Canis lupus familiaris: one gene and its partners. The protein of the gene in region 1 purifies or fractionates together with the protein of each later gene. This does not show direct contact. Links are inferred from orthologs where the notes say so. Each region holds a gene or a part of one and is shown on either strand. Other genes may lie near its edges. The genes, in order: ARID4A, BRMS1 and SAP30.

What was found.
Region 2: the proteins of ARID4A (region 1) and BRMS1 purify together in Homo sapiens (affinity purification with western blotting; 3 studies listed by BioGRID and IntAct, with this or other methods). This does not show direct contact. The link is inferred for Canis lupus familiaris from reciprocal best matches to the Homo sapiens genes ARID4A and BRMS1.
Region 3: the proteins of ARID4A (region 1) and SAP30 purify together in Homo sapiens (affinity purification with mass spectrometry; 5 studies listed by BioGRID and IntAct, with this or other methods). This does not show direct contact. The link is inferred for Canis lupus familiaris from reciprocal best matches to the Homo sapiens genes ARID4A and SAP30.

Annotation. Positions count from the first base shown.
Region 1 is NC_049229.1:33,993,479-34,004,116, reverse strand, and holds part of ARID4A (AT-rich interactive domain-containing protein 4A), read right to left. Parts: intron 5,811-10,638; coding exon 5,738-5,810; intron 4,546-5,737; coding exon 4,451-4,545; intron 4,301-4,450; coding exon 4,203-4,300; intron 3,699-4,202; coding exon 3,467-3,698; intron 1-3,466.
Region 2 is NC_049239.1:51,470,470-51,480,120, reverse strand, and holds the end of BRMS1 (breast cancer metastasis-suppressor 1), read right to left. Parts: intron 7,125-9,651; 5' UTR 7,114-7,124; coding exon 6,939-7,113; intron 6,865-6,938; coding exon 6,774-6,864; intron 6,606-6,773; coding exon 6,478-6,605; intron 6,299-6,477; coding exon 6,219-6,298; intron 6,132-6,218; coding exon 6,035-6,131; intron 5,429-6,034; coding exon 5,336-5,428; intron 4,144-5,335; coding exon 4,079-4,143; intron 3,349-4,078; coding exon 3,309-3,348; intron 2,923-3,308; coding exon 2,915-2,922; 3' UTR 2,373-2,914; downstream 1-2,372. Other genes in the region: RIN1 (ras and Rab interactor 1), read right to left, coding at 1-184, 341-432, 577-649, 745-859, 965-1,145, 1,288-1,373. UniProt on the Homo sapiens protein: Transcriptional repressor. Down-regulates transcription activation by NF-kappa-B by promoting the deacetylation of RELA at 'Lys-310'. Promotes HDAC1 binding to promoter regions.
Region 3 is NC_049246.1:24,117,311-24,128,572, reverse strand, and holds SAP30 (histone deacetylase complex subunit SAP30), read right to left. Parts: upstream 7,047-11,262; 5' UTR 6,733-7,046; coding exon 6,418-6,732; intron 4,763-6,417; coding exon 4,637-4,762; intron 4,215-4,636; coding exon 4,116-4,214; intron 1,567-4,115; coding exon 1,444-1,566; 3' UTR 1,229-1,443; downstream 1-1,228. UniProt on the Homo sapiens protein: Involved in the functional recruitment of the Sin3-histone deacetylase complex (HDAC) to a specific subset of N-CoR corepressor complexes. Capable of transcription repression by N-CoR.

The DNA of each region.
Region 1 (10,638 bases):
ACAATGACAGCCCATCAACCACTGCGTGCTTTTCCTTTCAACCCATGTAAATTAATTATGTCCATGTCTACTATGATCCTTGGCTACATGCTACAGAAAAAATAAAAATTTCCTCCTTTGTTGACTACATTATTTTATCTCACTTTTAATATTTCTTGACTACAATAAATTTTTTAATTGAAAGATAGTTGACATACTATGTTATATTAACTTCAGGTATACAACGCAGTGATTTGAGAATTATACACATTCTGCAGTGCTCACCATAAATGTAGATACCACCTGTCACCAGTTATCACAATATTATTGACTATATTCCCTATGCCATACTTTTCATCCCTATGATTAATTTTATAACTGTTAGTCTGTGCTTCTTAATCCCTTTTACTTATTTTGTCTATCCCCACACCCCTTTCCCTCTGGCAACCACCAGTTTGTCCTTTCTATTCACGAGTATGTTTCTGTTTGCTTTTATTTTCCACATATAATGAAATCATACAGTATTTATCTTTGTTAGACTTATTTCACTTGGCATTATTTTATCACACTTTTAATATTTCTTGACTACACTGAAAGTTCTAAAATAATTAAGTATCAATGATGCAAGTTAACAATAATTTAAAAATAAATCAGCCTCCTAAATTATGGGCTCTTTAAAAGTTCTATGATGTCTAATCTACCATTTTTAAGATAAAATTTACATTATCACTGTATTTCTGTGTGACTACATTTTAAAAGGACTGAATAGGGGTGCATGGGTGGCTCAGTCGGTTGGGTGTCTGACTTTTGATTTCAGGTCGGGTCATGATCTCAGGGTTGTGAGACTGAGCCCCACGTCCAGTTCTACACTGGGTGTAGAGCCTACTTGAGATACTCTCTCCCTTTCCTTCTGCCTACCTCCCAACCCCAGCATTCTTGCTCTCTCTCTAAAAAAAATAAAAATAAATTTTAAAAATAAAAGGACTAAAATGCATCCATGGCCAACAGGTGAGCTGATTTCTTTGAATAAGTATTTGGAGCTCACTGGGCTGGTAGTAATTTGTTCTTCCCCAGAAGCTTTCATTTAGCCTCTTGTATGCTCAACTGACTGTGAAACTGTTGAGCCATTTCATTCTCTCCTAAATTCTCCTTCAGGTCCACCGCTACACACTGGCAGTTTCCCTCTACTTGGAATAAAGTGAGGATAGAAAAGGGGCCAACAAATAAAATCTTTAAAAAAGGGAGGGGGGGAAATCCCTGGGTAGCTCAGAGGTTTAGTGCATGCCTTTGGCCCAGAGTATGATCCTGGAGTCCCAGGATTGAGTCCTGCATCAGGCTCCCTACATGGAGCCTGCTTCTCCCTCTGCCTGTGTCTCTGCCTCTCTCTCTCTCTCTCTCTCTCTCTCTCTGTGTTTCTCATGAGTAAATAAATAAAATCTTTAAAAATAAAAAAGGGGGGACCAACAACTTAGAGAGTACTAAAATAACAACTAGTATTTCAGTATAACAAATGTTTTCCCTAGTTCCTATGTGCTATTTAAACTTGAAAAAAATAAAAAAATAAAAAAAATAAACTTGAAAGTTAGGGACCCCTGGGTGGCTCAGGGCTTAAGCGTGTCTGCCTTCCACTCAGGGTGAGATCCCAGAGTCCCAGGATCAAGTCCCACATCAGGCTCCCTGCATGGAACCTGCTTCTCCCTCTGCCTGTGTCTCTGCCTCTCTCTCTTTTTCTCTCTGTCCGTCCCTCACGAGTAAATAAAATCTTTAAAAAATAAAAAAATAAACTTCAAAGTTAGAAAAAAAGTGTATTTTTCTTTTCACAAAGAACTAGAATGTAAATTCCATGAGGGCAGAGATGGTCTTATATACTTCTATATCCTATGCACAGAGCAACTTTTCTTTAAATACGTGTAGGTAAATGAATGAAAACAACTGCTATCTATCAGACTTTAGACCTATATACCTTTTTCTTAAGTTACTTATTTAAGTAATCTCAAAACGTGGGGCTTGAACTCACACCCCTGAGATCAAGAGTCACATACTCTTCTGACTGAGCCAGCCAGGTGCCCTAGAAATCCCATTCTTAGAAGTCTTCCCTCTATATTCAGACCAATGAGGAGGAATTTTTACAAGTATATTTATTACAGCACTTTTTGTAATCATAAAAAATTGGAGAAAATTTTAAGGAAGGTGAATTTATGGTATATGTATATTATGTAGTACTCTGAAGATAATTTACAAAAGATGAGGAACATCTTTAATGACAGGAAAGTATGTCCAAAATACATATAATGGGAGACAATCAGTCTTAGGAAGGAATATTCAGTTTTAAAAAGGAAGGAAATTGTGACACATACACAGGAATGAACCTGAGAGACATTATACTGAGTGAAATAAGCCAGTCAAAAAAGGACAAAGCTGTAAGATTCCATATATATGAGGTACCTAGAGTAGTCAAATTCAAAGAGACAAAGTAGAATGGTTTTGCCACAATCTTGGGTAGAGGGGAATGGGGAGTTATTGTTTAATGGCTAGTTTCAGTTTTGCAAGATGAAAAAGGTACTGGCAAGGGACAGTGGTGATGAGTGCAAAACACTGGGAATATAGTTAATGCCACAGAACTGATGCTTAAAAATGGTTAAGAGGATACATAGTATGTGTATTTACCACAATTTTTTAAAATTAAAAATTAAAAAGAAATGAAGCAAACCAATTTGAATGTTTCATGAAATTCATTGGAAGATTCCATTTACTGGATGATGGTCAAAATGGACAGTTTTAAAAAAATGGTTTCTGAGCAACTAAAAGAGGTAATTTCATTTCTTCTTTGACTAAACATGATTTCACTAAAAAATAAGATGTAACAGGGGCACCTGGGTGACTCAGTTGGCAAAGTGTCTGCCTTCAGCTCAGGTCATGGTCCTGGAGTCCCAGGATTGAGCTCTGCATCAGGCTCCCTGCTCAGCAGGGCATCTTCTTCTGCCCATCCCCTCTGTTCCCTCTCTCTCTCTCTCACTCTCTCTTTCAAATAAATACATAAAAACTTAAAAAAAAAAAAAGATGTAACAGTAAATGAATGCCATTGATAGTGTGAAAAAATTTTTTCTCCTAAAATTTGATAAATCCTACCATGTAGACATCATTCAACAATGATCAAAAACAATGGATGACAATCTCTACAAAGGAATTATATACTAAGGGAGACTTTTAGTAAGACTTGAAGGAAGTAAATATGTGAGACTGACCACAGATGAGAATGATCTGAACAGACATAAATAGAAAACAACAGGAGGAATGGTATTTTAGGTAGAAGAAAGAAGATGTGCTATATCTAGAAAAAAATAGCCAGGCTAGTCTGCCTAATGCACAACTCAATACTGGAAAATAAACTAGGTTCACTGGCTTATTTTTGTGTGGATCTGAAAATGTCCATAATAAAAATTTAATGTTTAAAATAAACCAGGTAAAACTAATATTAAGTACTTACTCTTGGAGATTTTAATTCTATTTCTTCTCTTTCACTTTCACTGTTTGAATCAATATTTTCCTCAGGTTCACTCTTCACTTCCACTAAAGGCATTTCTTGATCTACTTTTAAAGCCTCTTCCATTGATTCTTCTAAGTCTTTTTTTTCTTCTTTTACTTTTGGTTCATGGTGGTGGACAGTTCTGAACTGAATATTTGCAGAACGGCAGTACTCCTCAAAACCATAGAGATACCTAAACAAACAGTTTCATTTTAAGAAATCTTTGTCTTTACATTTAACTTAAATACTATATTATTAAACACACATATTTTTATAAAGTAATACTCGAGACTTTTTTTAAAGTACTTTTTCTATTACTAGTTTCTCAGTGCTTTATACAGGATTATAAACAGAAATACTGATCATAAAATTTCTTCCTGAAAAAGCTATAATAGTTTTGATATGAAGGCTATTCAACATAAGTAATATAACTCTATAAACATGTATCATCGTTTCATACTATTAACGTACCACATCCCAGACTTTGAAAAGGAAATCAAGACAACACGAGAAATGGAATAAAGTAGACTTGGTGTGATGAAATAACGTTCAGTCACTAATATCTATTAACCTAAAACTTTTTATATACTTTCTCTAACTAAATGTTCCTTGATGTGTTTTTGTTTAATTGTTAACAAATTAAATGGAAAATATTCCTGTAATATGTATTCTTTGATGAATAAACTATACTACTTACTTTCTATAAGCAGTTTTTACATTGTAGGAAGCAGCTGAATTCAAAATAGGAATGCCAAGGTCCATATAAATTTGCTTCCATACAGCACCACTATCAATCTGGAAAATTAAGTTTTTATTTGTTAACATTTACAAAAGGAAATAATCTTTACACTAATATTCTAGGTTCATTAAGAAAATGTGTTTATCACCTACAGTGCATATAACTGCAACATAGATAATTTAACTTTTCATTATATCTATACTTACATTGTCACATCCACCTTGATGATAAACCAGTCTAAAGAGTTTGAAGAGATTGAGATCTTTATAGCCCAACACAGGTGGTTTGTTGATTGGAGTACCTTTTTAACATGAAAGTAGGATAAATATTTTTATTTAAGTGGAAAATGCTATTACAAGGCTATCGATACAAAACTTTCCAATTTCTAATTTCCCAAGTTTTATTAATCAGAAGCATATATTTAAAGAACCTTAAATTATGTAAGACAACACAAAATATTCTCTATATTCTTTATACAGCACTATGATGGTCTTTAGATTTATTTTTTATTTATTTATTATTTTTTTAATTTTTATTTATTTATGATAGTCACAGAGAGAGAGAGAGAGAGGCAGAGACATAGGCAGAGGGAGAAGCAGGCTCCATGCACCGGGAGCCCGATGTGGGATTCGATCCCGGGTCTCCAGGATCGCGCCCTGGGCCAAAGGCAGGCGCCAAACCGCTGCGCCACCCAGGGATCCCTGCGCCACCCAGGGATCCCATGCGCCACCCAGGGATCCCGGTCTTTAGATTTATATCTATGACTCATCATGTCTCTCACAACTAATAAAATCACCTGTGACTGAATTAGGTACAACTAAGACTTACAACTGCAAGGTGCAGCCAACAATGCTTCTGGTTCAAGAAGCCTGGGCAAGAACATACACAATGGAAAGGGTACAATTTAGGGCATGGATTCATTTTCATTGCTTGAACACAAATGTTAAGAGTGTTAGCAGTAATCTGAAGGATGATGTCTCAAAGTCACAGAATGCCTAGGACCAGTTTATTGGAGGATTTTCCAGAACTAATGTAATGTCAAAAGGAATAATTTATAAAGGCTGTATTTCAATTTAAGTCTATTAAAAACCCTATTCAATTTAGGTAAGAATTGGTCTATTTTGTTTCATTTGTTGAGACCGAGGATCAGGCTAGTTTACTTGCTGCAAAGATAGCATTAATAACTAATGGGTATGTGGATTATATTATGACTGTTCACCTTCCATCACTGAAATATTATTATATTTTTTGGTTTTAGAAGTCCCAAGTAGACTAAGTATAATTATACCCATACAACCTATGTATTTTCTGCTCAAAATAGATATTAACAGTTTTTTAATTCCAAATACTTATTCCAACTCTAACTGATCCTTAGGCTTTACTTGAAATCCAAATCCATATACCCATGATTCTAACAAAAATAATTCATGAACCTAGAATGTAAAGTTGTAAAAGAAATGACTGCTTTTAAATAATGACCATCAAATACATACCTCTGTCTTCCATAAACTTATAAAGCTGTTGGAGGAAGTTGTCCCTCTCTTCAGGATCAAGTTCTTCCTCAGGCTGTAAAGGCAAAATGCATAAATACTTAGACCAGTGAATAGGGTGAGATATATAGTCTTTTTTAATTCATATTTTGTTGTTGTTTTATGAACCCAACATAAAGGAATTTTTAACAAAGCTGGAAAATATGAATTTCCTCCAAACTCTACAATGCTAGACTTTAAGTCATATTTTTTATAGTGTTGATTTGATACAACTGTCAAGATACACAATCTTTACCCTTCACTCATCTATGACTCCAACCCTACCCTTGAATATCAACATAGGGATTAAGACTAGCCATGAGGAAAAGGTTCAGGAATCCAGTAAGAACATTTTCACCTCATTTGGTTTAGTTTTAAAAAAAAAAAAATACATCAAAGTACCATGTGGCCCACACAAATGTATTGATAGATAAGCACAATAATTACAAACATATTTATTATTTAAAAATAACCCACAGGGCAGCCCCAGTGGCGCAGCGGTTTAGCGCCGCCTGCAGCCCATGGCGTGATACTGGAGACCCGAGATCAAGTCCCATGTCAGGCTCTTTGCGTGGTGCCTGCTTCTCTCTCTGCCTGTGTCTCTGCCTCTCTCTCTCTGTGCCTCTATGAATAAAGTCTTTAAAAAAATAAAAAATAAATAAAAATAAAAATAACCACATACAAATGTTCTAATTTGTTATTGTTGAATGAAGACAAACTAGAGGTTCCAAAGTCACATGGCAGAAGTTTTTTGTTTTGAGAACACAGCAGTTTAAAGAAATTTATATATATTTAAATGATTCATAGAATTTTATTTTGTCTCAGGCCCACCATCCCTTCTTCTATCACATTAGCCTGCTTTTCTCATTTGCCCTTCTTGCATGGCCTCTGTAAATAAGACTTTGCAACCCCTGAAAATAAGAAAATGAAAATTATTTAAGGAAGGAAACTAGATAAATAACCACAAATTGGTTCCTGGGTGTAGGGAAACAATGGAAACATTCATGTAAAAAAAATAAATAAATAAATAAACTATTCCTACAAATACCTATTTAAGTGTTACTTTTTACTAATTATATAAATCTAATGATCTCTTCTTATAATGTCAAAGTCTTAGCTGCAGTTAAATATATTATGGGTTTTAATAAAATATTCCCTGCCCTGATAGACTACTTATAAACCAATGTTTGGGAAAATTCTTATTTAAAATTTAGCAAAATTATGGAGAAATAAACAAAACACTAATATCTTTCATCCATATAAATTATTATAATTTCAGAGTACTGCTTTTCTACATTCTAAAAGAACAATTAGATTTGTCTTTCAAAGGGCAGCCCTGGTGGCACAGTGGTTTAGCGCTGCCTGCAGCCCAGGGTGTGATCCTGGAGACCCGGGATCGAATCCCATGTCAGGCTCCCTGCATGGAGCCTGCTTCTCCCTCTGCCTGTGTCTCTGCCTCTCTCTCTCTGTGTGTGTATCTCTCATGAATAAATAAATATTAAAAAAAAAATCTTAAAAAAAAAACCATTAAAAAAAAATAGATTCGTCTTTCAAAGCCATAATCAAAGCAAAGCAACCACCAGCCAATAAATATTGAGTATTCACCATCTAGAGGGCAACAGGTCCTTTAAAATTATGTATTCTTTAAGAATTTTAATCACTAAAACATAGCAGCCAGAATCCATGAACATGAAGTTGATTAAAATATATAATAAAAAAACCAAAAGGCAATCAAAGAGAATAAAATCTTTTAATACATTCATTCAGAATGATTTAATAGCATTAGAGTACTGTGAGTTTTAACAAATGTAAAGAAACTAAGTCAAAGTTCTAAGCCTCACAACTTAGCAATATAGAGTGAATAATCAGTGTAGGGTTAATAGGGATCATTACTAAATGTTCCAATCAAAAGATGGCAGTTTTTTGGGATGCCTAGGTGGCTCAGTGGTTAAGTGTCTGCCTTTGGCTCAGGGCGTGATCCTGGAGTCCCAGGGTTGAGTCCCACATCAGCCTCCCTGCAGGAAGCCTGCTTCTCCCTCTGCCTATGTCTCTGCCTCTGTGTGTGTGTGTCTCATGAATAAATAAAATCCTTAAAAAAAAAAAAAAAAGATGGCAGTTTTTCCCCATGTGAATTTAAAAAGCCTTGCCTTTGCAAGGTAATTAGAACTGCCAATGAGTTAACTCAAAAAAAAAAAAAAAAAAAAAAAAAAAAAAAGTCCAGTAACCCAAAAATTATTTTTAAAGACTTCTAAGTATGGGAAAAAAACCCCAAAACACCTTCTGCTAGACTGCGCCTATGCTTTGCTTATCCCTCATGTTCCTCATAATCACAATATTTTCTCCTTAGACCGACACCTCATTTCCAGTATTTATGATCTTGCAGAATTCAAATAAGACCATTATCCAGTATATGTAAAAAGTATTTTTTCAAAAGGCACTGACTTAAAAAAATAAATAAATAAATAAATAGATAGATAAATAAATAAATAAAAAAAAGGCACTGACTTGAAATCAAATTTTCTTCCAAAAACAAGTAAACAAAATAAACCCATCAACTGCAAATTAGGTATTTATTACAGTTGTACCAAACATTTCATAAATTCTTACTAAAAATAGTTTTAATACATAAAAGTTGGTATTTTAAATACATTTGATTTAAAAGTTAGTGGATGTCCAGGCACCTGGTGGCTCAGCCGGTTAAGCATTCAACTCCTGATTTTGGCTCCGGTCACAATCTCAGATTCCCAGAATCAAGCCCCTTGTTGGGCTCTGCACTCAGTGGAGAATCTACTTGAGATTTTCTCTCTCCCTCTCCCCTCATTCTGCCCCACCCAGCCCCATGCTCAAACACATTTGCGCACTCTCACTCTCTCTCCAATAAATAAATAGATAAATTTTCAAAAATAAAATAAAAGTTAGGTAATGTCCAACAGTGTAGTAAGTTCCATGAGAAATTATGGCCATAAAATTCTATGTTCAGGTGCAGTTATCAAGTATAAAAACAAGACATAAATGAATAAAGAATTCTCCTTATTAAACAAATACCTGCTTGAGGAGAAATTTACACAAGAAAAAAGATGAGGCTAGAAACACAGTTTAAATTTACCTGATAGTCTTTACAAAAATTAAAATTGCTTAATTTCTTTTTAATTGAATTTTATTTAATTAAAATAAATAAAATTCAATTAACATATATTATTTGTTTCACAAGTAGAGGTAATTCATCAGTCTTATATAATAGCCAGTGTTCATTACATCACATGTCCTCAATGTCCATCATCCAGTTATGCCATTCCCCCATCACTCCCCTCCAACAACTGTTTGTTTCTCATGATTAAGTCTCTTATGGTTTGTCTCCCTCTCTGATTTTGTCTTATTTTTTCCTCCCTTCCCCTATGATCCTCTGTTTTGTTTTTTAAATTCCACATGAGTGAGATCATATGATATTTGTCTTTCTCTTATTTCGCTTAGGATATCCTCTAGTTCCATCCACGTCCTTGCAAAAGGCAAGATGCCATTTTCTGATGGCTGAGTAGCAGCCCATTGTATATGTATACCACATCTTCTTTATCCATTCATCTATCGATGGACATCTGGGCTCTTTCCATAGTTTGGCTATCGTGGACATTGCTACTATAAACATTGGGGTGCAGGTGCCCCTTCGGATCACTATATTTGTATCTTTGGGATAAATACCCAGCAGTTTAACTGCTGGGTCATAGGGTAGTTCAATTTTCAACTTTTTGAGGAACCTCACTGTTTTCAACAGTGGCTGCACCAGCTTTCATTCCCACCAGGAGTGTAAGATAGTTCCCCTTTCTCCACATCCTTGCTAATATCTTTCCTTTCCTGATGTGTTAATTTAAGCCATTCTGACTGGTGTGAGGTGGTATCTCGTTGTGGTTTTGATTTGTATCTCCCTGATGCTGAGTGATGTTGAGCATTTTTTCATGTGTCTGTTGGCCATTTGTATGTCTTCTTTGGAGGAATGTCTGCTCGTCTTCTGCCCATTTCTTGACTGGATTATTTGTTCTTTGTTCTTTTATTTGAGTTTCATAAATTCTTTTTTATTTATTTATTTATTTTATTTATTTTATTTTTTTTTATGATAGTCACAGAGAGAGAGAGAGAGAGGGGCAGAGACATAGGCAGAGGGAGAAGCAGGCTCCATGCACCGGGAGCCCGACATGTGGGATTTGATCCCGGGTCTCCAAGATCGCGCCCTGGGCCAAAGGCAGGCACTAAACCGCTGCGCCACCCAGGGATCCCGAGTTTCATAAATTCTTATAGATTTTTGGATACTGGTTCTTTATCTGATATATCATTTGCAAATATCTTCTCCCATTCTGTCAGTTGTCTTTCAGTTCTTTGACTGTTTCTTTTGTTATGCAAAAGCTTTTTTATCTTGATGAAGTCCCAATGGTTCATTTTTGCCTTTGGGGAGGAGTCTAGTAAGAAGTTGCTGGGGCCATGGTCACAAAGGTTGCTGCCTGTGTTCTCTCTAGGATTTTGATGGACTCCTGTCTCACATTTAGGTCTTTAATCCATTTTGAGTCTCTTTTTGTGCATGATGTGAGGAAATGGTCCAGTTTCATTCTTCTGCATGTGTCTGTCCAATTTTCCCAACACCATTTGTTGGAGACTGTCTTTTCTCATTGGATATTCTTTCCTGCTTTGTCGAAGATGAGTTGACTATAGAGTTGAGGGTCCCTTTCTAGGTTCTCTATTCTGTTCGATTGATAACACGTGTCTGTGTTTGTGCCAGTACTATACTGTCTTGATGATTACAGCTTTGTAATACAGCTTGAAGTCCAGAATTTTGATGCCACCAGTCTTGTTTTCTTTTCAACATTCCTTTGGTTATT
Region 2 (9,651 bases), on another chromosome or scaffold:
CTCCTCTTGAATTTCTCCCGCTTGGTGGGGCCCAGGTCCCCTGGGAACAGGGGATTGAAGAAGCACAGGGCGGCTCCCGTACCCTGGTCCAGCTCTTGTGGGGGCCGGGGCTTCAGCCGGGGCAGCAGCTGGTCTTCAGATGGGCCCTGCTGAGCCCTGGTGTTGAGGGAGGAGCTCCAGAACTCTAGGGAAGAGAAACCAATTGGGGCCTCGGGGAGGTTTGGGGAGTTGTGCCCAAATGAGGGAAAGGCACTGACTCAGGCCTTGCATCCACGTGCCTTCCTTTCCTTCTTGGCCTCGGCTTGTCCATCTGTGCAATGGGTAGCAGAAGAGCCCTTACCAATGCCCAGATGGGAGATGGCTTCCAGTTCCTTGTGGGTGGCTGCCTGGCAGATGGCTCTGGGGAGCTGCAGTGGGAGGAGGAGGATGTCTCTGAGGCCAGAGAGAGAAACAGAAAGCCAGGGGTGAGGGATGCTCAGGGCACTGGGGGCTGACAGAACCTGCAGAGGTTGGGAGGACAGGATGTCCCAGGGACCTGGGACCAACGGACACCAGGCACCCTGCAGCCAGGCTTACCGGGTATGGCAGTAGGCGCAGATGAGCTGGACCAGGTCTGGGAACATGAGTTCTGAGCCCTCCAAGGAGACGCCTGAGGGACGGGAAGTGCGGTTGTTCTCCAGAAAACACCCCTGTGCCCGGCCCGGACTGCTTCCAGCCCCTTCCCCCCAGGCCAGTCCTGCTCACCCCCAGGGCTCTCCTGGATGTAGTGGCTAGAGACAAAGGAGGGGCCACTGGCCTCGGGCAGCCGCACGCACAGGGCCTGGCACCCGCGAGTGTTAGATTTCCGCACAAGGAACATCTGCAAGGGACAGGGGTCGGAGGCTCGGGACCTCGGTGTCCAGCCTTCCCCCCCCCCGCCGCCCCGCCTCCGTCGGCTAGTCCCAGGATCAGGGGCCAGACTCACCCCCGGGGGCTCGGTCCTCAGCACATGCAGAGCAGCCGCCGCGCTGGCCCGCAGCTGCAGCCACACGGGCCGCGTGAGCAGCAAGCGCTCCCGCAGGCTCACGGTGCGCCCGGGCCGCTGGGGCCCAACTGTCTGCCACCCACCGGCCCCGGGCACGTCATACAGTGGGTCCTGGGCTGGCCTAAAGGGCGGGCACCAGATCTGAGCAGGGGCCCAGGGGGTGGGACCCTTGCCCAACCCTTTCCCCCCACCTCTGCCCTGGGACAGACCCTGCTCTGCCATCCCTCCCTGTCCCACGGGGCTGCCCTTCCAACTTCACTAACTTTTCTCTCTCCGGGTGCCCAGGTGTGAAGTTGGAGAGGCTGGGGGCTCCAAGAGGTCCAGCCCCTGGCTCCCCAGGGGTTTCCATGGCTGGGAGCTCCTTTGGTTTCTCCCGGTTTCTCCCAGGACTCAGGAAGAGAATCCAGCCCCCAAGGCAAGAGCGCTCACATTCCCAGCAGTGAGTAACACTTCCTGAGGGCGGTTCGCCCTGTCACGCCCCGCCAGTTAACTCTTGTGTGTCCCCTTAGCCCGGGCAGTGCCCGCTTCCTCCGTGTTCAGGCCCAGCCTCAGGGAGCAAGGGTCCTCTCCGTGCAGTGCCACTCCACGAGCCCCGGCTGTGGGGCTGCCACCTCCACACAGCGCATCCTGAAGCCTCGCCAGCCTCCTCGAGGCACACGAGCAGGCGGGAAGGGGTTAAGCTGGGCCCATCTGGGTCCCACAGGCCCAAGTTTGCCCATGGGGCACCTTTAATTAAGTTTGTGGTCAACTGCTCATTTGTGTGCCCTCCCCGCCCCCCGTCAGCCCAGTGGGAGGGCACCCCCTACTGGTCACAGATGACTCATTCTCGAGCCTAACTTGGGTTTTGGATTTTCGGTTGCCATGGAGAAAGGATGCTGTGTCTCCTTGGAAACTAACCCCTTTGCTTAACTGAGGTTCTGGGGGTGGTTCTAACACTTGGCGCTAAATGGGATGGGGGTGGGGGAGTTTGGTTGTGAGGTCGTCAGCACATGGTGCTGCTGCCAGCTGCCTCCTACACTCCCAGGCCCCGCCAGCCTGCCTTACCAATCTGCCAAGTGACTGGGGCAGGTGCAGACATGACCCAGGCTCCAAGCACAGAGCACACAACCCTCCCCACCCCCGACACATGATCGGCCTGTGCCACATGTTGCTTCAGACTTTGCTCACTCCCCCACCTCTGGGAGGTGTGCTGGGAGGGCCCCCCCCATACCCCAACTCAGAGTAGGTGGGCTCCTGCCAGGTAGAGAGAGGAGGTACCAGGGACTCCAGGAGAGCCCACCTGACTCAGGCACTCCCCAGGGGAGCCCTGATTCCCTCGCAAAGTAAATCAGACACACACAGGTCATGCTAGGGTCCCAGGGAAGGTTTTAATTCCAGTCCCTGAAATCTGGGAGACATCAAGAACCTCCTTGAGAAGACCTGGGGAGCCTGCCTTCTCATCTCCAACAACGGCCAGGAGAGACAGGCCCCCCCAAAATATAATTTCTGGTTCAAAGTTCCCAGGAAGTGGGGCCCAGCTCACTAGCTCAGTGACTAGTCCAAGGTCAGCAGGAAGAATGTTGCTTTGGCTTAAGAGGAGCCACATCTTCTTTGTCTGGGATGGTGAGGAGAAGGCTGATCTCGTGGGGGTGGGGGGGTGGGCTCACTGGGGACAGGGAAGACAGTCTTGTCTGGTTAAGGCAGCTCTGGGCCACACAGTGTGCAGGCCCCGAGGAGGGCAGAGGAGTCCAGACCAGTGATAGCTGGAGGGGAAGGCCATGCAGCAGCACTGGGAAGCTGGCCGGACAGACCCCGAGGGGCTTGTCAATCTGCCTTCCTACAGCAGGAAAACGCAAATCCTGGGTTTGCTGCCAGCTGCTCCAAGGGGGCCCTTGGCTCTGAAGAGCAGGGTCATGGTCCTAGAGGGACACCAGAAGGGGAAAAAGCACCGCAAGTAAGAAGCTGAACCAAGAGGGGAACACCAGTGCCTATGGGGTGCTGAGAGGAACAGCCTTGGTCTGGCCCAGGGCAGCTCTACAGCCCTCACCCCTGGGCTCACCAGGGCCACCCCGCTGCTGGGGCCTAGCATTCCAGCCCTCCCTGACTAGTCCTGGTTGCAGGGAGCTTCATCCCCTAGCCCCACCCCGGCTCCGTTTCCCCAAACCCCCAAAGTGCCCTCAAACCCAAACCATTCTAACTGGGGCCACAGAGCTGACATAACCACTGACTCTTTCTGGGTTTCCTTCCAGGAGGCTGGGCTGGGGGAGGTGGTGGCAGGAGGCAGAACAGCTCCTGTGGTTCTTACCATCTGCTTTTCTCTTCTGAGGGGACACAGCTGCCCTAGCCTGGGGGGGTAAGAAGAAAAGCCCCCCTTGAGAGCCTGCCTCCAACTTGGCAAGTAGCCTCCTCCACATCAGCTTCTCTGGGGCGGGGGCGCTGCTGGGTCAGTGCAGCATCAAGATGCGTGGGGAGCATAAGCCCCTTTCTGGGCAAAGCTCTGACATGGTCTCCTGACAGATGCCAAGCCAGGCCAGGCCAGGGCAGCCCAGCCGCCTTCCCTCTCACCCTCCCTCCCTCCCTCCCTCCCGTCCCATCAAAACCTGCCCTGGAAGGAGGAAGGGAATGACAGATTAAAAGGTCCCTCCTGCAGGGAAGCCTCAGGCAAAAGGGGACTTGTGTGGGGTGCACCTGGGTGGCTCAGTCGGTTAGGTGTCTGACTTTTGATTTCATTTCAGCTCATGATCTCAGGGTCGTGAGATCAAGCCCCACATCAGGCTCTGTGCTCAGCACAGCACCTGCTCAGGATTCTCTCTCCCCCTCTCCCTCTGCCCTCCCACCCCTGTGCCACTTGCATGCACGTGTGCACTTTCTCTCCCTCTCTAAAAACAAATGGGTGTGTGTGGGGGAGCTTGTGAGCTGACAGCAAAGCTAAGGAACCTGGGCAGAAGGCAGGAGGTGCTGAGGGCTGAGCAGAGCTCCCAGGCCCTCAGGAAGCCCGTGTGTGGTGAGGCCGCAGGGACCAAAGCTTTCAGGGATGGGGACCTGTCCCAGGGAAGCAGGTGGCACTGGCCCCACCTTTTTGATGGCTGTCCAGTCCTCTAGGATGTCGATCTCCTGCAGCATATACACGATGTAAGGACCTGCAATGGGGGGTCAAGGAAGCAGGAAGCCCAGTGGAGAGGGCAGGTGACAGGCCTCCCGCTTGGGAGCTCCAAAACTTGGGGGAGGCAGTGTGGGGAGGCCAGGAGGCTGAGGACCCTGGTTAGAGCTCAGGTTCTGCCTCCTGCCTCTTGGATCCCAGGTTCTTGGGGCAGGGCCTACGGCCTCATGAGTCCGTGAAGCGTACTGAGCCTCACCCCCTACCTCCCCTTAGTTCCTCCTCACTCCTCCCTCCAGTTTAAAGGTCAGTAGGTCAAAACCCAGGTCCCCCACTAGGGGACCTTGATCCCTCTATTCCCTGTCCCTTTAGTATCCCTTCATCTGGCCCCTTCTACACAGACTTCACAGTCTCTTCCATTCTAGAGACGACCCTCCTTTGGTCTCCCACTCCCTTCCAGAGTGGGAGGGTCTGCTCTGTCCTCTTGGGCTCTGTACCTGATGCCTCCACACCCTGACCTCCTGTTCAACCCACAAGTCCTCAAGGCCCAGACTCCTCCCTCCCTGCCTGCCCTGACTGCCATCACTGGGCGGCCAGTGTCCTGGGAGCCTGAAGGCTGCAGGAGTACCCGGGGGTGCAGGTGGAGGGCATGTGGATCCTGCTCCCATCTGTGGTGGGCTCTGCCAGGGAGGATGAGGGCTCAGCAAGCCCTGGGCTAAAGTGGCTCATGCCTAATGTGAGGCTGGGCAACTACTGTGTGGGATGTGGGTACCCCCAGCTTAGGCCACAGGGTTGCAGAGGACAGAGAAGCCATAGCTATTGGGGGGAAACCAGGAGAGGCTTCACAGAGGAGATAACAGGCACAGAGAGGCAGCAAGGCATTCCAAGAAGAGGGTGGGAAGTGAGAGAAGGCGGGGTGACGTGGTGTTGGTAGGAAAATCTAGGACCTGTTGGGAATATTGTGGGAAAGCCAAAAGAACCTCAAAGGAGACTTCCCTCAGGAAGTTATGGGGAGTCACTAAATGGATACTTCTGTTTCTCTATCCAGCCCAGGAGAGACCCAGGGCCTCACAGGAAATTCCTGACAGTTGGATTTGCCTGGACATGGCCACATGATGCCAAATGACCATAAACTGCCATAAATGACTGCCTTCCGTGTCCCCCCACCCCCTCCCTTGGTTTGGAGCTAACCCTGCTGTCCTGCCCAGGTCAGGCCGCCGTGGGTGGAAGGATACCAGAAACGAGAGGTGCCTTCTTCCTCTTGCTGGGTGGCAGGGAGTCCCAGGTCTTTGCGCTGCTTCTGGCGTGCAGTTTGTCATCCCACCACTCTGTGCCCCCAGACCCAGAGTCAGGATCAAAGAGCTGGCCATCCCTGGACACCCCACCCTTGTAGCTGTGTCCATCACGTGAGCCAGACCAGCCCCTACCCCTCCTCTCCCTCCCAGGCCAGTGGAGAGCACCCTGGGCCAGGGGCTTGGAAGCTGAGGCCAAGGCTAGATGGCAGAGCCATGCAACCCTGGGGAAGAGGTCACTGTACTTCTGTGAGCCTGGTTCCTTCATCTGTTTAGTGGGCAGTGTGACAATGACAATTCTGGCCTCCCTGGGATGCCATGTGAACACAGGCGCTGTGGACACGGAGGGAACTGTGGCTATTGTATGTGTGGGTGTGTCAGAATGACACCTCCTGTTCTGGAAAGAGAGCAGGGGCCAAGGAGGGCAGGGGGACCGTTCTTTCTGAGCCTCCTCTGTGCACCAGGCACTGGGCTGTGTCCTTTCTGTGCCTGGTTCCATTTAGGCCCCAGAGTGACACCATGAAGCAGGCTCTCCTACATGCTCCCTGTGTAGGCAGAGCAGCAGGTGGTGTGGGAGGGCAGGATGGGGGGTGGGTGGGAGGGGTGGGGGCATGGCTAGAACAGTGCCTAGTGCAGCCTCACCAGAGCTGATGTCCAGACTCTGGCGGTCCTCTTCCAGCCTCTGGATCCGCTCTTGCAGCTCCCCCTGCAGCGTGTCATAGAGCAGCAGCTTCTCGCTCTGGAAAGGGTGAAGGTGCTCAGCAGGGTGGCAGGGACAAGCCACCTTCCGTTCACCTCCCCCAGCCCAGCCCGCAGTCACATTCACCTCCAGGTGCTGTTTGGCTCCCTGCAGCTCACATTCGTACTTATTCCGGATCACGTCCAGACAGAAGCCCTTGTAGATCCCTGTAGAGGGAGGGAGATGGGAAGCCCTGCTTGGCCAGGGTCTCATGTGTCCAAAAGGGGGAGCCAGGAGCAGAGCTGGGCAGGAATGAGGAAAGAAGGGAACAGACAGCCATGGGCTCTGGCAGAGGAAGATGCGAGGAGGCCTGGGGTCACCCCAGAGCACAGGACAGCCCACAGACCTGCCACCTGAATGCGGATCTTGAGGCTCCGCTGCAGTCCCCCCAGAGGCTCTGTGTATTCAGGTGCTCTCTCAGCCCCCACTTCCTCCAGCCGCACCCTCAGCTGACTCAGCCGTTCCCTGAACAACCTGGGAGGGAAAAGGCAGCACATGTTTGTTCATCAGACACGTGGCTAAGCGCCTGCTCCATGGCAGGTCCCATGTGTCAGGCCCTTGGCTACCCCTGCCCAGCACCAGGCCCGCTGCCTCCTCACCCCAGGGGGCCTAAAGACCCAGCCCTAGACGCCCCGCGCTCACTTCTCCTTGAGCTCCGAGAACTGTTTCTCCAGGTCCAGCATCTCATTGACGCACTCGCTGCGACGCCGCTCATAGTCCTCGTCGTCCATCTCTGGGACAAGAGGCCAGTCAGCTCTGGCTGAGGAAAAGCGGGCGGACGCTTGTGTGCACATGTTGGGGGCTCACCTGAGCTCTCTTCCTCCGATTCAGTCTGGCTGCCGCTCCGCTCCTCCTCGCTCTCTTCCTCCTCCCCATTCATCTCAGCGGCCGAATCACCCTCTGCTTCCATCTCTTCTGTGTCTTTGCTTGGAGGCTGGATGGGCATCTGGGCTCTGGGAGGAGGGGAGCCATCACTTATCATCACCCTCAGTTCTGAGTGAGAAAGTGACCGTGTGGGGAGTCAAACCAAGCCCTGCCCAAATATCTCCCAGAAGCCTGGGAGCCACAGAAACGCTCACAATCTTGGACATTGTTGGTGATCCCAATCTGGGGAATGCTGGCCAAGGTGATGGTCCAGAAGCTGGGAAACACCAAGGATGGATTCCCCACTGCCTCTGGGACTGGGCCCGCACTCGTGGCTGGGGTGTTTAAGGGCCTGCACAGACTGGACTTGAAGTACTGAGCCAGCTCCTTTACCCCACCATCCTTAAGTGCGCCATGCCTTCATACTCCCCACCCCGTCCATTGATCCTTTCAGCTGGAATGCCATCCACTTCTCATCCTGAGAACACTCTGCAATCCTCATTTTCTCGCTGTGTTCTGGATCAACGCCTATGTCCTTCTGCTTTCTCTGGAGCCTCATATTACCAGTACCCCCATCTTCACTGTTTCTCCAATCCTTCCTCTTGACAGCTTCTACCCATGAAATTTTAGATGTGTTCGGGTATTGTCTCCCATTTAGAAATAGCAGAACACAAAACCTCGCCCTATTCCACTTAACCACTCCCCATTTCCTACCTCACAGCTACCTTTCCCAAGGCTCTGGCTGTTCCTACTCTTTCACTAACCAGAGGTTCCATTCCATATCTCTATGATTGCCCTCAGCTGAAGTGAATTCTGTGGCATCAACCGATGTCCACCTTGTGTCCAATGCCAGTATTTTTTAGTGCTTATCTTCGTTGACTTCTCAGGAACAATGAACACTATTAATCATTCTTTATTTACTCATCTAAGATTTATTGAAGACCTAATATATGCCAGGTACTGTCAGATGCTATGGTCAGATGCTGGGCACGATGGAGCAGACAGACACAGTCTCTGATCTCAAGGAGTTTGTAGGTTCCTGGGAGACAGGCAATAAGCAGACCGTACTGTGGTATGAGAACGGTTAAGACTGGAGGACATATGGGAGAGGCATCTCACTGGAACCTGGAGCTTGCTCCAACAGTGAGGGCTTGCAGAGGAAGATCCTTGCTGCAGCAATAGGGAGGACTTGCAGACAGATGAGCTGAGATGGCTGGAGAGGGAACATTCCAAGCAGAGTGAATAGCATGGGCAAAGACTCTAGAATGAGGGAAGGGGCAGAGGTGGGGGTACATGAGTCTAAGCCTCAGAGAGAAATCTGGGGTGCAGAGATCTGGTCATCGGCATATAGTGAGTGCTTCAGGCCTTGGGAGAAGGCACAACCAGCAAGGCAAAATGTGTGGAGTGAGAAGAGGTCCAAGATAGAACTCCCAGGGCCACCAAAGGGCCAGGTGATGAAAGCCCTGCAAAGGAGAAGGAAATTAGCAAGAAACAGAGGAAGAGAAGCACAGTCATGGGGAGAAAGAATTTCAGAAGGAAGTACGATCATAGTGCCAAATGCTGCCAAGAGATCAATTATGAGGAAGACTAAACAGTCCACCCAACAGTTAATCTCTACCTACTGAAGGCTTCGATTTCACTGTGATGTTCTTCCAACTTCTCTGAGCAGGGTACTGTAGTCCTTTAGATGGATATAGACACCACTCCCTCCAGGAAGCTCTACTTGTTTACATCTCCTCTCTATTTGCCGTTTTCACGTCTGTCTATCCAATCAGGCTGTAAGCCTTACCAGGATGGGGATGCACATGCACCTCGTTCACCCAGCACAGTACTTACTTCACTTCACAACTGGTGGATATGCAAATACAAATTAAACAAAGCACACTTTTTCAGGGCAGCTTTTACTTCTTGATTGCCCCAGGACCCTGTAGTGGTAGCAAACCCAAAGTATTCTGTTAACTTTCCTTGACACACTGGGACGCCTGGGTGGCTCAGGAGTTGAGTCGGCCTTTGGCTCTGGGCGTGGTCCTGGGATCCGGGAGTCCCGCATAAATTTTCCCTGCGGGGAGCCCTTGACACAATTTGAGTTGTGTATAATTAACTGTCTCGCGGCTCAGTTTAGTCTCATTCTTCAATGATTTCACAAGTGAACCTGAGCCGAAAACCTCAGTTCTCCAAACCAACCTCATCTTTCCCATTCTTAAGCAGGAACTGAGTTCCTGCAGTTCCCAAACTTCGCAATTCCTCTTCATTGTAAAATTATATATATTTCCTTTGTCTCCAGCTGTCTCTGATTCTACTGAGGGAGCAACATTAAATCACAACCTCCCCTCCTTACCCCAGGTGCAAAAAGAGGCTAACCAAGAGGATAACCATTGCTACTCTGAGCGTTCTAAAGATTGCAAGGCGTAGGGGATGGAAAAGCAAAGTATAAGGCGCTGTACACACACAATTTATATTTTTAGAAAGTGAGCATTTCGGGGCGGACCTCCACGGAAGGCCGATTCTTGTCCTTGGAGAGAGCCCACCCAGACCCCTGCGCGGCGCGGGGCGCCAGGACCCTCCCGCTCCGTTCCATTCCCGTCTGCGCCGGCGCCGCGGGCGGGGGAGTCACTGCCTCTTCGGCGGCCAACAGCGGCCCCGCGGCGCCGCACGC
Region 3 (11,262 bases), on another chromosome or scaffold:
TTGTTATTGGAGAGGCTTACTGCCAAGTGTAGGTTAGTTGTAGTTAAGTTTTGGGAGAGTCAAAAGCTATATATGAATTTCCAACTATGTGATTGTTAGTGCTCCAACACCTGCATCATTCAAGGGCCAAATGTAAATCTTCAAATGGTTATAGCAAGAACAAAGACTAGTATTTTATTTTTCACCTTATTTTCTAGTCACCCAGAACACTTAAAAATACAGACTAACCTTCTAATGAACCACTACTTTAGATGTAACTACGTCAGTGGTTCTTCACCATGAATGATTTTGCTTCCCAGGGCATGTCTGGCAGCATTTAGTGATAGTTTTGTTTGTCACACCTTCAGAGTGCTCTACTGTGGACTGCAATGATGCTGCTAAAACTACAACACACAGGACAGCCTCCCATGGTAAAGAATTATCAGGCCCAAATATCAACCTTTGAGAGAAATCTTGAGCTACATTAATGTTCTGATCCATTTTCAGCCTAAAATCTGCACCATGATCAAGCATATTAACTAAAGCTGTTGTTGTTTTGATGTCATAAGCTATAAATTTGATTTGCAATTATGAGAACTTTAATAGAAAACTGATAGAGGATGAAATGTAAACAAAAGTAGAATATAAATCAAGTCAGAGCTATATCTGAACCAAAATTTAAAGATCTTATTAAATTTCTATATCTCTCAACATACTAGTTTTACTTTGCAATGTAAACAGTACAGGACATGACTGAAAATTAAAGGGTGCTGCAGAACTTCTATGTTCATGCCGTATAAACACCTTTTCTCTAAGATAAAACTTAAAGAAACAAGTAAAACTAATTCTACATTATTTCAACTTTCAGCACTGTGTTTATCTTTGCTGGCACATTAGTCTTTGTTGGAAGAAGGTAGGCATATAAATTAAATCCTTTGATCTTCCTAACTTTATCAAGTAATGATTTTAAAAAAAGGAAATAAAAAAGAAACTGCACTCCAGTGGAAGTCTATTTTTCAAACCTGTTATCACCAAAAAGCACTTTAAAAAATAATGCTAATTTTTAATTCCAAATGAGATTGTCCCAGAGAAAGCAAATGTGCTGCATTTGCTACTTCTCTTAACCTTCATTTCTTGAAATTTAAAATTAAAAATAAAATGTGGGAACAAAGTGATCTTTACATTAAACTCTTAATTAAAACTAGTTTTAAAAAAATCAAATTTCACAAAATAAATACACTGAAACAACTATAATAGTAATCACCTTTATTTAAAATATTTTTTTAATCTAGGAAAGCTCATTTTACACGAGTTTCCAACTAATTATTAGAGTCAGAAACAAAGAAAATAAAACCAGAGAAAATCCTCTGTAAAAAAATACACAAGGAACATTTCTACATGTGAAAAAACAGTAAACAGTCTTAACATCTGAACATCCAAGTCTTAGTCTCAATTCCACCTCTCCTAGTGAACACCACTATCAACCTTGAGATCTGATTTGTTCTTGTCATTCTTCACTGAGTAGATGAAATATGTTAAGGTGTCTTTTTCATTCACTGGAATAGACCTAAAGTGGCAACCAACTATCTAAAAAAACAAAACAAACAAACAAAAAATTGAAATTGAAATTAAATTATAGATATTAACAGTTATTATACTAGGTAAAAAACACTTTTATCAAAAGAAAAAGTGCTATAAGAGCTATTTCCTTTAAATAATAAACTATTTACAAAATACCAACAAGATGAAAAGCATATAATTAAGATATTACGAACAAGAGAGAGGGTGATTTCACAGGACCCTCCAACCTACTCAATTAAAAAGACATTAGAATGTGTTATTTCCTTTTATTTATTTAAATTTTATAACTAGAATCTATATTAAAAAGTAAATATTTTAAAACTTTAAATATGAATGAAATAAAACAAAATCTAGACCCTACTCACAGGAAAAGGATAAATAAATATTTAAGTTGAAAAACTGTTGGTACTGTAGAAACAAACCATAGAATATCTTACAAATATATTTGCTACAATTTATATTCATTCATTCATTGGCAGTACTCTCTGTTAAGGTTCCTTGAAAGTTTGTCTGAATAAATATGGATAGAAAATGCGAGGAAAGAGAGACATTCGCTGAAGAATGTTTATCTGCTTTCTGGCTTTTTCTTTATGCTAATCTAACACTACAAAACCAAGAGAAGTACAATGGACTAAACAGGGGTATTGATATGCCTATCTAGAATGTAAAGACAAAAAAAGTCTTAATGAAAATGTTATTCATACGATAATTAAGAGATTTAAGGAAGACAGTTACCTAACTCTGGAATCATTCCTAAGTGAACTATTAACATTCATGGCCATTTGGATTTTTTTCTCATTTCTAAAGAAGAAAGTAACTCTAGAAATAATATAACTTTTTAAATATCAGATTATCAAATATTTCAGGTGTGACTAGTATACTTAAAAAATATGTATTACTGACCCTGTACAACACAGGTTTGAACTGTGAGGGTCCACTTACACACTTTTTTTTCAATAAATACAGTATTGTAGATGTATTTTCTCTTTCATACGATTTTCTTAACATTTTCTTTTCCTTAGCCTACTTTATTGAGATTACAGTAAGAATAACTATAACACATATGACATATAAAATATGCTAACAGACTATGTTATTAAAAAAGCTTCCAATCAATAATAGGCTATGAGTAAGTAGTTAAGTTTTTGGGGAGTCAAAAGTTATATGCAGATTTTTGACTATGCCCCTAGTCAAAAATGCATTGTTCAAGAGTCAATTGTACTTCATATGTAACATTTAAAATAATCAGTTTTTGAGTTCACATTTGTCCCAAAACAAAGGTACCTTCCACTTGATTAGTATCTGTATATATATAGATACAGTTTCATCACAGTAAATACCCATGTTTATCTTTTATTAATATACTATACAATCCAAAAAGGGCTATATTTTTTAAATCAAATTTAAAGAAAAACTGAATTTTTGTTGCTTGGGCAAGAAGGAAAGAGGAAATTCTGGCTAAAAAGTCAGTATATTATATCTTAACGATGTTAAAAAAGCATTCTGCCAAAGAATTGTACCTTCTGTATCTTTTACCTTATTCGATATGCGCATTTTAAAAAACACTGCATTACTAAACACAAGCTGAAAAATATGAGAAAACTGACTTATATATTTACATTTCTATTCTGTTGAGTAGATTAAGTATTTTTACTTAAAATGATTAAAGTACAAATACATAAATCTGTAAATGCCTTGATTCACAGATTTCTTGGTTCTTTATTAACTCCTGAAAACACACATATTTCAAAATTTACAAAAAGACTAAAAGTTTTATATCAAAGCAAACTAAATAAAACCTTGGATAAAAGTCTTTGCATCTGGGGTGCCTATGTGGTGGAGCTAATGAAATGTATCCCTTCAGCTCAGGTCATGATACCAGAGTCCCGAGTCCCTCTCACTGAGCTGCCATCAGGCTCCCGGCTCAGCAGGAAGTCTGTGTCTCCTCCCTTTGCTCTTCTCCCTGCTCATGCTCTCTCTCTCAGATCTCTCTCAAGTAAATAAATAAACTCTTAAAAAAAAAAAAAAAACTTTGCATCTTCCAGATGTGAAGGCATAGATGCCTCTAATAAAACAAGCTAACATCACCAAAGACAAATTCTGAAATCGTTAAATCAACAAGTTATAGGAATACTATTTATGGGCTAATCTGTAGACCTAATCCATCAAAAACTCAAAAAATTTATAATAAAGACAACAAAGCTTATCAATTTCTTTTATTATGCCTCAATAAGGTATTCAAAAAATGCTTCCTGAGTGGAATTTTAAAACCAACAGATTTCTAGAATGAGAATTTAAAAATTATTACCCGCTATTTCTGAAAGCCAGTATTAAAAGATATTTAGAAAGCTACATACAATCCACTGAGTGGTTGTTACATAAAGCAATTTAAGAGACAGACAAACATTTCTAGGAAACTAGATTCTTCCACAATAGATTTTTTATTAACTGATCTTTCTAACTGAGCTGTATTGTTATACGTACTACATTAACAATTTCATTAGCCTTTAATAACTTTTTTATATAAACAGGCTCATTTAAAACTTCATAAATACCTCAACAAGTTGTGCTTTATTAAGTCCTGGTCTGGTTGATAGTTTGAAGTGTCTTTTGTATCTCCGAAGTGTATTTACTTGTAATTGGTATAAATCAACCTAGAAAAAATAAACATGTAAGAATTAGTTCATGCAATTTTTAAATTGTTATCTTTGATATGCATAATAGCATTTCAATTTTGGTACAACAAAAATGTAATTAAGTAACAAAAATTACATTATTTAATTAATTCCATTCCATTACTTCTTTTACATAATCAAAACTACAAATATATAGAGCACTTCAATCTTTTGAAGGTAAATACTGAGAACTGGGAGCAAAAAAAGAAGGCAATAGAGGTATAAGCATTGTGAATTGAAAACATAAGTCAAACTACAACTGCCTATTAATTGGCTATATTTAATTTTGCTTTCATTTTCAGATTTTTCGCATTAAGTATTTTTAAAATTTGTTCCTATCTTTTAATAGAAGTTTCAGAATGGAATACTTAGGATTTACATTTAACATACAGAAACTTTACCTCTGGCGTATCGATATCTTGAACAGGTGAATCTCCTCCATCATCATCACTCCCTTTTCTCTTTCTTCTGTTTCGAACACTCTGAATTAAGTTTTTATGATAATCACAAATGTAAAGATGCCTTGCCTAAAACAAAAAAGTTTCACAGACTACTTATTATTATGTAACGTGTCTACGTATTAGTAAAATACATAGGGCACAGTGAATTATTAAAAATAAAAAGTCAAAATAGGCCATTGTTAAGACAACAGCATATTTCTATGCTTAAGTCCTGTATTCAGTTAGAACATACCGTGTCTGACAATAGGGTTAAGAGGATTGGAGAGTGGGGTGGGGAGGAGTGAAAGGAAGGAAGGAAGGGAAGCAGACAAGCAGAATGAGAAATTGCAATTGTCTGGATTTTTTAATTAAACTGTAGTGAGGGTGAATTAGATTTGTTAGGTCACGCTGTTTTTTTAATAAGTGGAAAGATGATGTTGCCCACAATTCTGCTACTGACAGTATTTTCTCTAAAGAGCACATTTTAGTAGCTTCATATCCTTTCTCAGTACTCAAATTATAATCCAGATACAAAACTATCCATTTTTACAAACGAGCTACCGATTTCATATACTACTTATATTTACATCTGAATTACAAGCTTCTGAGTATTTAATGAATGTATTTGTCTGTATTACGTTTTTTTCAACCAAAGGCAATGTGAAACTATTCAAGTTTACTTGAGAAGTGTCTCCCAAGCATGACTGAAGAACTCTTTAACAGGCATAATAGATCACAAACTTTGCAAAAGCTTCAATTAAATGTAGTCTTGAGCGCTGTATGGTAACATCTGAAATACTGGGCTGCATTATTAACAGTTTAAACTCCTTTAAAAAACAACAACAACAAGCGATTAAAGACTAAGGCTTTGAAATTTAACTTGTAAACGAAGTCCAAGTTAAAATTATGCAGGGCGTATGCTAGGTTCTGGCATCTTGTTATCCATTCACCGCCAGCCAAAACTCCGCAAAGTGCCAATGGTTGTTTCTGAAAACCTCACAGATGGTCAAAGAAACACAAGAAACGGACGTGTACAACAAGGACGGTAAAGGAAATCCGGATGCTGCCGAAGGGGTGGCAGCGCCGCAGAGGCAGCGGGCTCCCCACATTCCCGGCAGCTGCGCTGGATGCTGGCGGCGTCCACCAGCCCGGCGGTCTGCACCGCGCGGGGTGAGCTCGGCTCTCTTCCCTCCGCAACCCGGCGGACGAGCAGAGGAGTCGGTCTCCACCGCGGCACCAGGGCCTCGCTTGCAGGACTACACTTTTGCCTACAGCCGGGGGTTGCTCCCCGGGGCCACGCGCCAGCTTGGGCAGCAAAACAAAGGAGGAGCGGACAGGCTGCAAGAAAACTACTCCGGGCCCTCCGAGCCGCGGTGCTCTTTGTTTCGTGTCCCGACCTCAGGGAAGGAGGAAGGGGTTGGACGGCGAGCAGGGCGGACACCCGGAACGGGGTGGGGGTGCGCGGGGGTTGGGTAGGAAGGGTGGGGGTGGGCACGCGAGGGAGAGGAGGCGGGGGGGGGGCGGGGGGAGCAGCGGACCCGCGGCCGGCTGGCGTGGGTCTGCGGGGGAGGCGGTCCGAGTTGCGGCGACTTTGTGGTTCGCGTCCTACCCGAGACCACGCGACGGGCTCGCGCCACAGCCAGGTCTAGGGGACCCCCGAACCGTCCGCCCCTGAACCCCGGTCGGCACCGCTCCGGGAGCCCCAGAGCAGGGCAGGGCATGGCCGTCCCGCCGTCACTCACGCTCTTCTCCAGCTCGATTTTCACCTTCTTCTGGGAGATGCTCTTCTGGATCCTCTTGCTGAAGCTGGCGTTGCCCGCCGCCCGGCCGCACCGCTCTCCGTCCTCCCGCAGGCAGCACAGCTGTCCGGGGCCCGGCCCGGCCGCCCCCGGGGGCCCAGCAGCCGACACCGCCCCGGCACCCGGCACCTCAGCCCCGGCGCCGGCCCCTGCCCCGTTCCCGGCCGAGGCGGCCGCGGCGGCGGCGGCGACCACGGCGGCCACTGCGGCGGCCGCGTCCCCGCCGCGGCTCATCTCCTCAGGCGTGAAGCCATTCATGTCTCCGCGTGCCGACAGAAACCCCCGCTCGGCTCGCCGCTCCCCCTCTCTGCGGAGACTCCGGGGTCTCCGCGGGGTCCCTCAGACACCTGACCCCGCCGGGGCGATTCCTCCAGCGGCACCGCCACACACCAGGCGTCCCGGTCTGCTGTTGTCCGCTGGCGCCGGGATGGGGGACAGCGTTTGGGGTCAGAAGCCAGAACCGGGCGGCGCCAGGAGTTAGGACTCCGGTCACTGTCACATGGAGACGCTTCAGCAGTTGGACCCTGGCGCCTCCGCCTCCCTCCGGCCCCCCGACCTGCGCACGCGCGACGAGCCCTCTCCTGCCCCGCCCCTTCCACTGTGTGGCAGGGCACCATGGGAATTGTAGTTCTTTGAGGGGGAATCACTCTGAGTTCCACCCCGAACTGGGCGCCTTGGAACTACTTATGCTAGCATGCATCGCGCGGCGACGGGCAGGGCTTCGGCTGCTAATTTATTTATTTATTTATTTTAAGTCAGTGGGAAAACAGGGGCGTGTGGTTAGGGGTGGTGATGTTTTCTCGCTTCTAGTCTCTCCCAGGAAGTTGCTCCGTCTTTCGCTACCGGGATTCTGCAGTGTTGGCGTTCTACTAGACAAAGCGGCCACCCCGCTCCTGAGGCGAGGCGCAAAATGTTCTGGGCGGGAAGCTAGGAGGGAAGGTGCGGCGTGAAAAAGTTTCGGGGCCGTTTTCTTACTGTGGAAAAAGAATTTTTGGTGTGGCCATGCTTTTGTGGGACACCCAAACCAAGGAGAACTCGGGGAAGCTGGCGCTCTTCGGGTCCGGGAGATGCCGCAGGTCCCGGGTCACAGTTCCATTCATTGACACACCAGCTGAGGCAAAAACGCCCTTCCGACCTCGACCGTGACAGGGCCGCTTCCCAAGTGCCTCAGCTGAAGGCCGTTTTTAAATCCTTGCACGTTCCTGCGAAGATCGGGTTTCATTTTGGGGCGATCAAAGTTGGCCGCTTCCTGCGGTGGAGCGGCTTCTTTCCGCCTCCACCCCCACCCAACCTTCACCGTTTCTCTTCTAAAGGCCCTAGAGAAAAGTGGGATCCAGGACCCTGTCCAGGGGGACGTGGAGCCCCGATATAGTTAGCGTGAGTGCTCCTCGGAAACTTCCCGGCGTTCTCTCTGCGGAGTGAAAGGCCAGAAAGAACCCGCATTTCCTGGGGTATCCGCCCGCGCCTGTGCGTGTAGAGTGCGTGCGTGCGTGTGTGTGTGTGTGTATCCGCCCGCGCCTGTGCGTGTAGAGTGCGTGAGTGCGCGTGCGTGCCCGTGGGCGCGTGCTTGTAGGGGGCGGGGCCGGGGAATGGAGCGGCTGATAGGAGCGCGTGCGCCTTTGCCGGTTGCTGCGCGTCACTGTGACTGTATCGGATGTGTCCTGTTTAGCCGTCCTTTGGCTTAAATAAAAATACGAACCAGGTTCTTTTGCAAGTTCTTTCAGGCTTGCTGAGTGAATTTAGTGATAGATGATTTTTTAAAAAAACCTAAATGTCATCTGCCCTGAAATTCAAAGCCATCCATTCCGTCTGTGCTTTTCAGTTCTAGGCTATGGCAAAGGGAAAAACAAAAAACAAAAACAAAAACAAAACGTTAAGATATTATTACGTAAATTGAATGAGCAAAAGGAAGATGCTGCATGGTAAGTATGTTGTGTTACCCTTTTTATTTTTTAAGATTTTATTTCTTCGTGAGAAACAGAGAGAGAGAGAGGCAAAGACACAGGCAGAGGGAGAAGCAGGTTCCCTGCAGGGAGCCCCATGCGGGACTCCATCCTAGGACGCTGAGATCGTGACCTGAGCCCAAGGTAGATGCTTAACCACTGAGCCACCCAGGTGCGTCTTGTGTTTTGTTTTTTAAGCTGCACTCTCCAGTAGGGTGTCTGATAGCCCAATGTGCCTATTGAAAGCTTGAAATGTGGTTATTTCTACTGAAAAACTGTTAATTTAACTTTAAATTTAAAAAACAGATTTCAGTTATTGTAAAGACTTCAAGTGTGTTTGGAACAGCTTAGATACATGAATACATTTTTTTTTCTATCTAAATTTTGTGAAATCTAAACTTAGAACCCAAGTTGAGATGTGCTGCAAGTAAGAACTGCTGACAGGATTTCAAAGACTTAGTACTAGAAGTTTTTAAAAAACTATAATGAATGGCTCATTGATACTTTTTATATTGATTATATGTTGAAATGATAATATTTTGAATTTACTGGTTTAAATGAAATATAACATTAAAGTTTACCTGTTGTTTTAAATGTGGCTACAAGAACGTTTAAATGTTTACATATGTGGTTCACATATTTTTGTTAGATAATGCTGGCTTAATCTTTTAAACAGAATACTAGTATCTGTTGTTTGTGCATGTATTTTCTTAAGTGGTGAAAAAGGAGAACATATGGACAGGATGGATACAGTCCAACTTCAGGGTGGGGTTCCTATCTCAGGAGAGAGGCCAAGGAATTGTATCTGGGAATGGTTTAAAGGTGGAGTCCGTTGTATTTGTAGGTTTTTATTTATTAGGAAAATCTGAAACAAATGTAGTATTAGGATGTTGGACTTCCATATTTTTTGTGCTTTTGTTTGTTTTTAAAATAACTCATAATACTGTTTGGTCCTTGCTCTTAAAAGTTTATAATGTATCTTTTACAAAATATGAACAAATTACTTCATGTATATGTTAATGGTTTAGCAAGGTATCCATTTCATATGAATTTTACTAAAGTGACAAATTGTGGCTAGGCTTCCTGTACACAAAATACAGTATTTTAAAAGATCCAATTAAACATGTATTGCTTACTAGGATTTTTTCTAGGCCTTAGGATATAAAAATAATTGAAACAGAGTCCTAGCCATTTTGGGGCTCACTGTCTGGTAGAGTAGCTTCACAAGCACACAATACAGGCTGCCAAAGACTGAATGTTTATGTCCTCCCTCCTAAAATTCAAATGTTGAATGTGATGGTATTCTGAGGTAGCGTCTTTGGAGGGTGATTAGGTCATGAGGTAGAGAGGTACTGAATAGGATTACTGCCTTCATAAAAGAGGCTTCTGAGAGCTCCCTCACTCCTTTTGCCATGTGAGGACCAAGTGAGAAGACAGTAGTTTATGAACTAGCAGGATGACTCACCAGATATAAACCTGCCAATGCCTTGGTCTTGAACTTCCCAGCATCTAGAACTGTGAGAAATAAATTTCTGTTGTTTTTAAACTACCTAGTCTATGGTGTTTTGTTTTGTTGAAGATTTTATTCATTCATGAGAGACACACAGAGAGCAGCAGAGACATAGGCAGAGGGAGAAGCAGGCTACCTGCAGGGAGCCCAATGGGGAACTCGACCCCAGGACCCCAGGATCATGCCCTGAGCCAAAGGCAGATGCTCAACTGCTGAGCCATCCAGGCATTCCTATGGTGTTCTATTATAGCAAACAGACTAAAATGCATGCCTCAATAACATTAGAGAAAAAGTACAGATTTAGTGCACAAGAGGCAATGATTCACCTCTGGCAAATAGAAGGCATTTCTGTTGCAGGTGAACTGAAAATTTTCAATGCCTGATGTAAAGTATATCTTCAGTGAATCTATTGTTCAGACAGAAATTTTCCTAGCAACCATAGTTCGTTTGTTTCTACACATCTTCGTATTCAGGGCAGGTAGGAATTCCTTCCTTTAAGTGTAATTCATAGCCTATGTTGGAATCAGACTTTGGGGAGCTTTAAACATATAATTTGTGGAGTCTCCCTTAAGAAAAAGTATTTAAAATTTAAATACAAAATTAGGCACAAGCATTTAAAAGGGCCTGTCCGAAAAAAAAAAATAATAAATAAAAATGAAAGGGCCTGTCCAAGTGAGGGACTCTGAACCTTAAATCCATTAAATTCATGGTAATCCTACCTCAGAGTAGATGATATGGAAATACAGATTTATGAAACTTAAGTTATAGAGAGGTTGTTAATATCATTAAAATATTTGCTTTCTGAAATGGTTGTAACATGATTCTTTAATTTTTTTTTCCCTTTACCTGCCCATTACAACAAGGTTTTTATATTCATTTATATCCGGTCTTTACCTAAGTAAGAGAGTGAAAACTTCTCAATATTAAAGGAGCTACATTTTGGTGACTCTATAACCTCCTGTAGAATCTCCTAGGGCCACCTTGGAGAAACAGATACTGAAGTTTTCAGTTTTGTAATGATCCGTAATCCTTTGTAGGCACATGCCTTGAAACCTTCTGAGATGTTGGTATGTTGGTTGGCTGGTTGGTTGGTTGGTTTGGCTGGCTGGCTGGCTGGCTGGCAGTTCTCTTGTTTGTTCATTCGTTCATTGATTTTCAACAGATTCCCAGAAAATCAAACCCTAAATAGAGTCTCTTGACTAATTAATGTAGTTTACCTGCTATGTAAAGTCACATGAGAAGCATTGTCAAACAACAATGATAAGCCCTTTTATATTATATTGGATGCATGAATGCTGTCGCTGTTCCAAAAATGAAATGAAATTCCTAAAGTTG